Nothobranchius furzeri: one gene and its partners. The protein of the gene in region 1 interacts with the protein of each later gene in a pairwise test. Links are inferred from orthologs where the notes say so. Each region holds a gene or a part of one and is shown on either strand. Other genes may lie near its edges.

Evidence for each region.
Region 2: the proteins of nme7 (region 1) and zbtb48 interact in binary tests that used the Homo sapiens proteins (3 or more experiments, as listed by UniProt). The two-hybrid records come from large-scale screens. The link is inferred for Nothobranchius furzeri from reciprocal best matches to the Homo sapiens genes NME7 and ZBTB48.
Region 3: the proteins of nme7 (region 1) and shtn1 interact in binary tests that used the Homo sapiens proteins (3 or more experiments, as listed by UniProt). The two-hybrid records come from large-scale screens. The link is inferred for Nothobranchius furzeri from reciprocal best matches to the Homo sapiens genes NME7 and SHTN1.

Annotation. Positions count from the first base shown.
Region 1 is NC_091756.1:61,694,132-61,698,106, forward strand, and holds the start of nme7 (nucleoside diphosphate kinase homolog 7), read right to left. Parts: upstream 2,818-3,975; 5' UTR 2,690-2,817; coding exon 2,687-2,689; intron 2,024-2,686; coding exon 1,922-2,023; intron 1,340-1,921; coding exon 1,173-1,339; intron 303-1,172; coding exon 192-302; intron 1-191. Other genes in the region: uncharacterized protein zgc:172121, read left to right, coding at 3,277-3,381. UniProt on the Homo sapiens protein: Possesses an intrinsic kinase activity. Displays 3'-5' exonuclease activity with a preference for single-stranded DNA. Does not seem to have nucleoside diphosphate kinase activity.
Region 2 is NC_091755.1:39,583,362-39,586,878, forward strand, and holds part of zbtb48 (telomere zinc finger-associated protein), read right to left. Parts: intron 2,724-3,517; coding exon 2,587-2,723; intron 2,508-2,586; coding exon 2,343-2,507; intron 2,251-2,342; coding exon 2,162-2,250; intron 194-2,161; coding exon 1-193. UniProt on the Homo sapiens protein: Plays a critical role in transcriptional regulation and chromatin remodeling. Acts as a regulator of telomere length. Directly binds the telomeric double-stranded 5'-TTAGGG-3' repeat.
Region 3 is NC_091752.1:9,266,133-9,269,649, reverse strand, and holds part of shtn1 (shootin-1), read left to right. Parts: intron 1-1,064; coding exon 1,065-1,179; intron 1,180-1,887; coding exon 1,888-1,970; intron 1,971-3,517. UniProt on the Homo sapiens protein: Involved in the generation of internal asymmetric signals required for neuronal polarization and neurite outgrowth.

The sequences.
Region 1 (3,975 bases):
AACAACTACAACTCTGACTAAAACGAGGATTAAACCAAAACAGTTCATCAGTTAATCTTAGTATAAAACATTCAGATGATGAAAAGTGGCGGGTAAACTGTTTCCATTTGATGACATTATGATCAAGCATTTAATAAAACTAATAAATGCAAATCTTCATTAGACAGACACTAAGCATACGGCAACCTTACCATGTGAGCTTGGTCATTTTTGCTTTGGTCACCATTAGCTTGGAGGCATTTATCAACTCCAGGATGTCTCCGATCTTACTGACCATATCTGGTTTTATCAAAGCAAGAGTCCTGGAAAAAAGATGCAAAATGGTTATAAAACATCACGGGCATCTTCAGCACACACTGTTTCCAGGTTTGTTCCACGTAGGCTGTGGTTCTGAAACAACCATCAGTCTCTGCTTCCAATCCAAACTGCTCTCCCGAGTCCCATCTGTTGGTTGGTAAGCAGGTGACGAGTAGCTTTTATTAACCTTTGAATTTGGAGTTTTGAATAACAGGAATTAAATCTTTATTCTTTTCACAAAAGCCTTTAGTCTTATTGACACTTGTTCAGAAAATGTCCTGTTTTATTAGCCTCCTTCCTTCAAGGTGCCTTCTACTGCTGCTCTTTTTAAATAGGCAACTCCAGGAAAAAGCTGGTTGATTTTAAACCTCCATCATTCCAGAAACACATGAAGCATATTAATAGGTTTTAAACCTTTCATGCCTCAGCACTTTTGCTGGTAAAATTCTAGTTTCTTGGACCTGCAGACAAGCAAAGTGATCTGTGTGACCTTCACATGCATGCGCACCCCAAACACTTCAAGTTCATTCAGTCTGCTACAGACTTACTCACATGTGACATGTGTTATCTCAAGGATTAGCTGTTGCACTTTCTAAAAACAAATTTGATCTTCTAAATAAAAAAATATTAAGTTTTTTTAAGTCTGACTCAAAAGTTATAATCAGCTTAAAAAGTAAATCAAATAACTTAAACAAGCAAAAGTTGTATCTTTACATTATAAATTACAGAAAAATACGACGACAATAAATGAGTGCATGGTGTCTCTGAGTTCTACTTTCTGACTGAATATGACGCAGCTCACGTCTACGAGGTACAGTATGTGCAGAAATTAGACGGGATAACAAAGACTTACTGCTCGGCCCAACTAATCATACCTTTCCTTTTCGCTGCCAAGTTTGTTTGCCGTGAACTGATCTCCATAATCTACTAAATGTAGCTGCCGAGAGAAGATATTGAGTCGATTCCCCACGAATAAATCTTCCTGATTGACGCTGTCACATTTGGTCCTCTTCAAATATTTCTTTCGATTCTTCAAATCATACTACAAATTAAACAAACAAAGGAATTATTCATAACAAAACAAAGAGTTTAAAAAGTAAATGTGTTTGTAATCTGTTCCAGTGCTGTTTGTGTCATCGTTAAAGAGCAAGTCACCCCCTACAACAAACTTACTTCACTCCCACTTCATGTTTGAAAAATGCAACAAATGCTGTTGCTTGGCAGACCGAGAGGGCGGAGCCGCTAACAAATACACACACACACACACACACACACACACAGGCTCACAATGGCATTACGACATCATGATATACCAGATGACATCATAGCATACCTCTTAGCCAATAGCGGTGGCAGATTTAGATTCAAATACAGTGCAGAATCTTTCCGTGATGATGGCACAACACTGACAGTTTTAGGCAGAATATTTGAATTTTAACCAAGATGCACTGAACTGCCAAATTATTGACTACATGTGTCTGCAGCATGATTAGACACTCCTTTATATAGTTTATCAGCAAAAAAAAAAAAAGTGATTTGGGGGTGACTTGCTCTTTAAGTTGCACCTAGAATATACTGACAAACAGTAAAGTCTTATGTCATAACTGCTGCAGCAAAAGCAAACCATTTCCACGGAGCCATCTGTAATGTAGAAGAACAGAAGGAAGCGTCGCAGGAGAGATGCATGCTGATCAAACCATTCGGCAAGGAAAGCATATCGATCTTCCTAAAAAAAATAAAATGAGTAAGATAAACATATTTTTAAAAAGCTTGACAAGCATTTAAATTGATATGAAGACATTATAGTGGTTCCCTAACCCACTAGTCACTGATACATGAACAACCAAAACTGACAGACTGAAACTCTGATCTGGAGCCTCAAGAGGTGATACGGTACAAAGGTGAATTTTCTATGAAATGAAAAATGAGATGGACAACTCTGAGAATCGTTTTCACTGGACAATAATTCAACAACACTGTCTTCAGTCAGAGGGCTCTTTACGTCCACTGCAACACAGATCATTACAGGAGACACCCACCGCAATCACCCCTGGTGGTCGCAGGATCCTATGTTAGCGAGAAACAGCTCTGAACTCATTACAGTTGAACTGAAACGGATAAATAAAATTACACTGAACCAGGTTTACAAACCCATAACAGCAGTTAACTGTCTGAAGTCGCTTTTAACCTCGTCAATAAAAACTTGACATAAATACAAGCCCTAACCCATAAGTTCACCCCAGAGTCATGAAAATCTGAAACTATGTAAACAGTCGCTGCTAAGCTAAAGCTAACCACTTCTCGTTAGATGTGTTCACACTCAAACGTGAAATCTAGACTATCATGAGTATTTATGTATCTTTTATGAAAGCGGGGACTTTTAACTTACCATATGTACGATTTCACAAGACCAGCAAACTCTATAAGCACCGTTACGAACAAATATGTCCACAGGTTAGCCGTTGCTAACTATAAGTTGTTTCTATAGCAACTGTACCGAAAATGGTGTTACGTTCACGCAAACTTGAGCGGTAGTAAATTTCAGTTTTACGTTTATTTATCTAATCACGTCACGTACTTAAGGTTATAGTAGTCTCAAACGTTTAATGAGAGTAAAAAGGTTAAAATATTACACCATGTACTTACAGACATACACAATATTTGCTGACTCACATTGCATTACAGTGAAAAATGTGGCTTGAAAGTGTATCGTGTATTTTTATGAAAACATTTAAGATATTTAAGATGTTACAAGAATTAAAATGCAATACAAATGTACACATGGCCTGTCTCCGCTGTATTTCGTTGTCAAACGCGCCATCTTGCGGTGACTTGTAAAATCAATGAAGCGTTTAGTTATCAAGTATTCTGACGGTACCCAAACGCAACAGTTGACCTTTAGATTACCCGGAAAAACAACACAGTACCTCGTTTGGGTACTTTCTACTCTCTCGACTTGAACAATTGTTTTGCTAATTAATGGGTTCTGCTGCTCGTCTTAGACAGTTCATACACGATAACAGGCCGGTGATCCTGGATGGAGGACTAGCTACTGAACTGGAAGCACAAGGAGCCAAACTTCAGGTGAAAATAAATTCAATTCAATTCAGAAATACTTTATTAATCCCAGAGGGAAACTGATTGCTGTAGTAGCTCAGAATAATAATAATAATCAAGTCATCAAAGAGTTGTTGTATATTACAATGGATGTTGGCAGGAAGGATCTCCAGTAGCGGTCAGTGTTGCAGCCAAACTGAAGAAGCCTCTGACTGAAGACACTCTTCCGTTGTCGGACAGTCTTGTGAAGAGAATGCTCAGGGTTGTCCATCATTTTCTTGATTCTCTGGAGAATCCTTCTTTGCATCATCTCCTCCAGCGGTTCTGAAACTCTGGCTGAGTCCTTGAAAGGGCTTGGAGTTCCTCCATCTGGTTGGCCAGTGATCTCACATCGCCCATTATGATCGATGGAAGAGATGGTTTGAATTTCCTCTTTCTCTGTCTCCGTTTTGCTCCCGCTTTGCACCCACGCTTCTTGCGTTTTAGCTCATTTGGCATTTGTGGCTTCAGTTGAGGTATTATTTCAGCCTTTCCAATGTCAATCAGCTGCTCCCGACTGTAAACCGGCTTGTTGCCATGGTTACGCATCATAACAAATGCTCAAAAAGTGAAAAAAGCTAA
Region 2 (3,517 bases), on another chromosome or scaffold:
GGTCTGATGACCCTGGGACGACAGGCGACTCTGGGGAGTCATCGCCAACCTTCTGAGCGTCCACAGATTTAGTGACTTGGCTCTCGTCCGGGCTGTCGTCGACATTCTGTACGACGATGCTCCTCAGCTTCCTCTGCTGTGGTTTGTAGTTCTCGGTGCGCTTGTGGATGAGGCAGTGCCGTCGCAGGTGTGCCTGGAGGAGGTGGAGGAGGAGACGTTAGCGGGCTGGCTATAGACCTGTAAGCTTCAACAAAAGTTAACGCCCAGTTGTTTGAGAAGGGAGGGAGACCCCATTATTTCTCCTTCTGATCAGTCTTTTAAGGAAAAGTGGTAAAACTTGCTGAAATTGTGTAAAAAGTTGCATCACAAGTTAACACAGGAAGCGATGATGGGAAAACAGGATGTAAACAAACATTAAGCTGGAAACATGCATCAAAGCCAGGAGTATGTTCTAAAGATCCAACCACAGGAAGGTTCTGAAGAGTCGCAGGAAGAACATCTAAGGTGGTGCATACCATTTCTGACCCTTCAGATAACAGAGAGGGAGGGGTGGGGGCGTAACGGCCCTGAGCAGAGAGGGAGGGGTGGGGACGTAACGGCCCTGAGCAGAGAGGGAGGGGTGGGGACGTAACGGCCCTGAGCAGAGAGGGAGGTTTGGGGGTGTAACGGCCCTGAGCAGAGAGGGAGGGTTGGGGGTGTAACGGCCCTGAGCAGAGAGGGAGGTTTGGGGGTGTAACGGCCCTGAGCAGAGAGGGAGGGTTGGGGGCGTAACGGCCCTGAGCAGAGAGGGAGGGTTGGGGGCGTAACGGCCCTGAGCAGAGAGGGAGGGGCCGGGGCGTAACGGCCCTGAGCAGAGAGGGAGGTTTGGGGGTGTAACGGCCCTGAGCAGAGAGGGAGGGTTGGGGGCGTAACGGCCCTGAGCAGAGAGGGAGGTTTGGGGGTGTAACGGCCCTGAGCAGAGAGGGAGGGGCCGGGGCGTAACGGCCCTGAGCAGAGAGGGAGGGGTGGGGGCGTAACGGCCCTGAGCAGAGAGGGAGGGGTGGGGGCGTAACGGCCCTGAGCAGAGAGGGAGGTTTGGGGGCGTAACGGCCCTGAGCAGAGAGGGAGGGGTGGGGGCGTAACGGCCCTGAGCAGAGAGGGAGGGGTGGGGGCGTAACGGCCCTGAGCAGAGAGGGAGGGTTGGGGGCGTAACGGCCCTGAGCAGAGAGGGAGGGGTGGGGGCGTAACGGCCCTGAGCAGAGAGGGAGGGGTGGGGGCGTAACGGCCCTGAGCAGAGAGGGAGGTTTGGGGGCGTAACGGCCCTGAGCAGAGAGGGAGGGGTGGGGGCGTAACGGCCCTGAGCAGAGAGGGAGGGGTGGGGGCGTAACGGCCTTGAGCAGAGAGGGAGGGGTCGGGGCGTAACGGCCCTGAGCAGAGAGGGAGGGGCCGGGGCGTAATGGCCCTGAGCAGAGAGGGAGGGGTGGGGGCGTAACGGCCCTGAGCAGAGAGGGAGGTTTGGGGGCGTAACGGCCCTGAGCAGAGAGGGAGGGGTGGGGGTGTAACGGCCCTGAGCAGAGAGGGAGGTTTGGGGGCGTAACAGCCCTGAGCAGAGAGGGAGGGGTGGGGGCCGAACGGCCCTGAGCAGAGAGGGAGGGTTGGGGGTGTAATGGCCCTGAGAGTGTGCTTTCTACCAGTGGGAATCATTCAGGGCTGCACAGTGGTGCAGTGGTTAGAGCTGTCGCCTTGCAGCGAGAGGGTCCTGGGTTCGCTTCCCGGCCTGGGATCTTTCTGCATGGAGTTTGCATGTTCTCCCTGTGCATGCGTGGGTTCTCTCCGGGTACTCCGGCTTCCTCCCACGGTCCAAAAAACATGACTGTTAGGTTGGTCTGTCTAAATTGTCCTTAGGTGAGTGTGTGTGTGCGTGATTGTTTGTCCTGTGTGTCTCTGTGTTGCCCTGCGATGGACTGACTCTTTCCAGGGTCTACCCCGCCTGATTGCCCATTGACCGCTGGAGATAGGCACCAGCCCCCGCGACCCTACGTGGACTAGCAGGTTCAGAAAATGGATGGATGGATGGGAATCATTCAGCTTTCCCTAGTCTTGTCTAGTTTGTTATGCACCATCTTGGAGGTCACACGAGGTCTTTAGGGTGACACTACAAGAGGGACTTCAGGAGAACAACCTGTCGGGTAAACATGTAGCCACAGTCCCCACACTCAAACTTCCTCATGCCTTTGTGGCGCCGCAGGTGGACTCGTAGCTGCTCCTTGGCTGGAGAAGGGTTCAAAGAAGAAAAGATCAAAAGTTGTTATCATCTCTGTAACACTCCTGCTGCAGCTGGTGCTCGGGACGCTGTTTGGCACCTTTGAAAGTTTTGGTACAGACATAACAGCTGTGGGGTCGGCCCTCCTCGTGCCTGCTGGCCTTGTGGCGAAGGAGGGCTCCTTTCTCCGTGAAGCGCTGCTCACAGACGTCACAGCCGTAGGGGCGCTCCCCGGTGTGCGTCCGCTGGTGTTTATCCAGACTGCCTGGAGGACACAAACAACAGGGTCAACAGTAAAATGACACAGCTCAACCAACCCACCACTTCCTCGTCTGACTCTGTACCTTGTGTCCTGAAGGTTTTCCCACAGAGGTGACACTGATACGGCCTCTCGCCGCTGTGCACACGCAGGTGCAAGTTCAGGTTGTTTTTCTGGGAGAAGGCGTGGCCACATGTGGTACAAACGAAAGGCCGCTCGTTCCTGTGGAGCAGAACAAGAACGCGGGTCAAAGCAGGATTCAGACGGTGACCGGAGCAAACTGTTGATTAGTTTTGTTCTCACAGATTAAATCACCTTTTGTTTTTTTACAGATTTAGACAGAAAACAGCTAAAATTAGCCTTGATGATGTGATCACAATAATAAATCAAATTAATCTGTTAATTCTGATCAAAGCCACCAGAGTTTGTTTCTCATTAATTCAACATTCAGGGTCTGACAATCAAACGAGTTCTGGCAAGATGACTAAAAAGTAGTGATGCACCGATATGAAAATTTTTGGCCGATACCGATATTAAGATCACTGTTATGGCCGATAACCGATATTTGCCGGTATCGATCTACTGACATTAATGCTTCTAAAATCAGCAGATTTTGTATAGAATGAAAATTATTAAAGCTGAATTTACGTTATGTACACACACACGCATTTACGGTTCTGAGATGATTTCATTCACTGTTCACACGACTAATCAATGACACCCCACCCCCACCCCCCTCTGAAACAGGCAAACAAACGGAGACGAGATGGAAAAAATATCAATTGTTAACATCGGCCCGGTTTTATTTATCGAACCGATACCGATATGTTAAAAAATGACTAACATCGGCCGATACCGATGGAATTGTCCATCCCAACTAAAAAATAGGGAAATATAAAATTCAATTTTACACATTTGAGACCTTAAACCAGCGGCACTCAATAGGGTCTTTCTTTGTGAGCCACGTACCGCCGGTCTACTCCGAGCCCCTCCCGGATGACCGAGCTTCTCACCCT
Region 3 (3,517 bases), on another chromosome or scaffold:
ATTATTCATTCACCCACTCATCCATCCATCCCTCATTCATCCATCCACCTTCCACCCACCCACCCATCCATCCATTCATTCACCCACTCATCCATTCATCCATCCCCATTCATCCATCATCCATCCACCTATCCACTCATCCATCCATCCATCCATCCATCCATCCTTCCACCCATCCATTCATCCATCCACCTACCCACTCATCCATCCATCCATCCTTCCACCCATCCATTCATCCATCCACGATCCATTCACCCACTCATCCATCTTCCACCCACCCATCCATCCATCCATTCACCCACTCATCCATTCATTCATCCATCCATTCCTCATTCATCCATCCATCATCCACCCACCCATCCATCCATCCCTCATTCATCCATCCACCCACTCCTCCCACTCATCCATTATTCATTCACCCACTCATCCATCCATCCCTCATTCATCCATCCACCTTCCACCCACCCATCCATCCATTCATTCACCCACTCATCCATTCATCCATCCCCATTCATCCATCATCCATCCACCTACCCACTCATCCATCCATCCATCCTTCCACCCATCCATTCATCCATCCACCATCCATTCACCCACTCATCCATCTTCCACCCACCCATCCATTCATCCATCCATCATCTCCAGGTTTGGTGGTTCCTGGACTGGACCCCAGACTCCAGCAGCTTCTGCTTCCTTGGACTTAGGATGACATTCCTTTGTCCAAACGAGCTGGAATCTCTTCACTCGGGACACGGAGAGAAGGAGACAACAGACATTTTAAATTGAGTGATTCTGAATGGGTCACTTGTTCAAGTTGTGCTATGATGACAGTTAAACTGATGTTTGGTTTTTACGTAATCAGTGATGAAAACATGACTGAGTCAAAGCTAACATGATAACCTGAATCAGTCGTTGAATTATTCAGATGTCTAATGATTAAATCTGTAAACACGAGATAACCTGATGAGATAATCTGCTAGCATGCTGAGCTAATCTCTAAAACGTTTTTCCATCCCTGCGGTTTGCTGCTGGTTTGTTCTAAAGCTCCATGTTTATCTGGACAGTGGAAGAACTCCAGAAGAAGCTGCAGACTGTTGCTAACCCACCTCCTGCTCCTGCACCTCCGCCACCACCTCCACCTCCCCCACCTCCTCCACCTTCATCCTCCAACCCTCTCAGGTCTGAACTTTCTCCCGTAGCTTATGAGGCTCTTGGTGGCGTTGAAGCATCATTCAAACCCAGATGGTGTGGTCTTTAGGCTGGTTCTGTTCTCATCCTTCAGCTCATGTTCCTTCTTTTAGTGAACAAACCCAAACCGGAAGTGACCTTCTGGTTCTACGTTCTCCTGAGAAATATCTAATAAACTCTCCTTCTTCACAGGAAACAGTTCATCTTAGACCTGCTGGTGGTTTTAGAGTCCAGATGGACTTGAACCGTCTAACTAGCTGGTTAGTGGCTGGTTAACCAGCAGATGAACTACTTGGTTTAGTTTCTTTGTTTAAATGGCTCATAAAAACTAAGCAGTTTATTTATAATTAATGTCTGAATGAAAGTTAAACATTATTATTAGTTTTCCTGGTTTGGAGGATAGAGGTTAAGGATCTAAGATGATAAATTAGTTTGATTCTGAAAACTTTAAAACGGCAGCTGCAGGATTAGTTTCGTGACTTTTATTAAACCTGAGAAAATATCTGACTCTGAATTCAGAGGAAACATATATATAAAAATATATTTTATATCAGGTTCATTTCTGATCACCGTCTCATCGCTCATGATGTGTCGTCATTTCTTTGGATCTGAAAGAAAAAGCTTTGCTGAAATTAACATTATAAAAAAATAAAATGACCAGAACAGGAAGTCCAGATGTTGTTCTGTCTCCTGCTGCAGCGCGCTGCTGTCGCTCATCAGGAAGAAAAAGGACGTCAGCGACGACGTCCAGCTGCTGGAAACGGACTCGACCAAACCTCCAGGTGAACGTCTTACTCACTCGCACACGCCCTAACAACCCTGCACACACACACACACACACACACACACACACACACACACACACACACACACACACACAAACGTGCACACAACTACACACACACCTACACACACACACACACTCACTCACTCACTCACACACACACTCAACAAACGTGCACACACACACACACACACACACACACACACACACACAAACGTGTACACAGACACACACACTCACAAACATGCACACACCTACACACATGCACACACACACACACACACACACACACACACACACACACACACACACAAACGTTTTTTACAGTTTTACCATAAATAAAAAAAACTTCATAAACTACAAACAAGATAAATAAAATTAAATGTTCCCGTTTCTTTGAGCCACAAACAACTTATTAAAATCACAGAAATTAATAATAATTAACCAGAAAAGTACGAACAGGAACTGAATCGTCCCTTTATTTTTGACTCAAACTTTTATTTTAATGTTTTTATTTGTCGGTAATAACTGAATTAATTCCATCAAAGCTTTCATTCATGCTAATTATTCACCCATTTTCTTTGATTAGTTTAAATTCTGGTCTCCTTTTAATCTCTTTCACGTACGATAAATGCTTTATGAGACCATCGTTCTCAGAAATCTGCATCTTTGGCCTTTCAGACCCAGATGTTAAATTCTCTAATTTGTGCCGGCAGATTCCAGCCTTGACCCGTGGGAGCGGTTTGATGTCCGTGCTGACTGAACAGGTTCTGATGTTAAACAGTTATTGAATAAGCGAGTCCTGAATTGGGCACCAGGCTCACAGCGTTAGTTGAAATTCCATCCAGGGATGAATGGTACCACCCAAGGATCTTCTACTCTGACACCTGAATAATAGATTCTTTTTAAGCACTAAAGGGAAATATTTTGCTATTACTTCTGAACAAAACGTTTTTTTAAAGACATTTCTATGACAAAGCGTTCTGTTGTATGTGTCATTGAATGTTCTATGTGAGGAAATTAAATATTCGCGTTGCTTTGTGAATGGGCAGCATTATTGCAGAATTACATGTTTTGTTCTCCTCACTTTGAACCTCTCCTTGGAAAACTTTTGTATGACAAACAGCCGAACGGTCGGAGCCTTTACACACACAGAAAACCTTGCAGCCTTAGTAACTCTTATGAAACCATGACAATAATCTGGATTATATCCATTGTGCACGGACTGCTTTTAGACCGTGCTTTGACTGAGGTCTGCTTTAGTCCAACAAGTTGCTCATCAAATGAAGCAAATTAAACATCACTTTTAACATCTTAACAGTTATTAATAATAAAATCCTTTTGTCACATTCTGCTTTACAAACTTGTTTTTTCTGTTTGATCAGTGTGCCTCTTTGTCTGAGGCGAATTCCTGTTTGGCCCTCCAGGCTCCCGTAGCAGCTGTTCCCTGTTTATATAGCAGTGCTGATTTATTTATTTAAAGGTCAACTTCACTGAAAACCCCTGTTTCAATTATTATTTCTGATTCTAACAGGTCACTCTGAG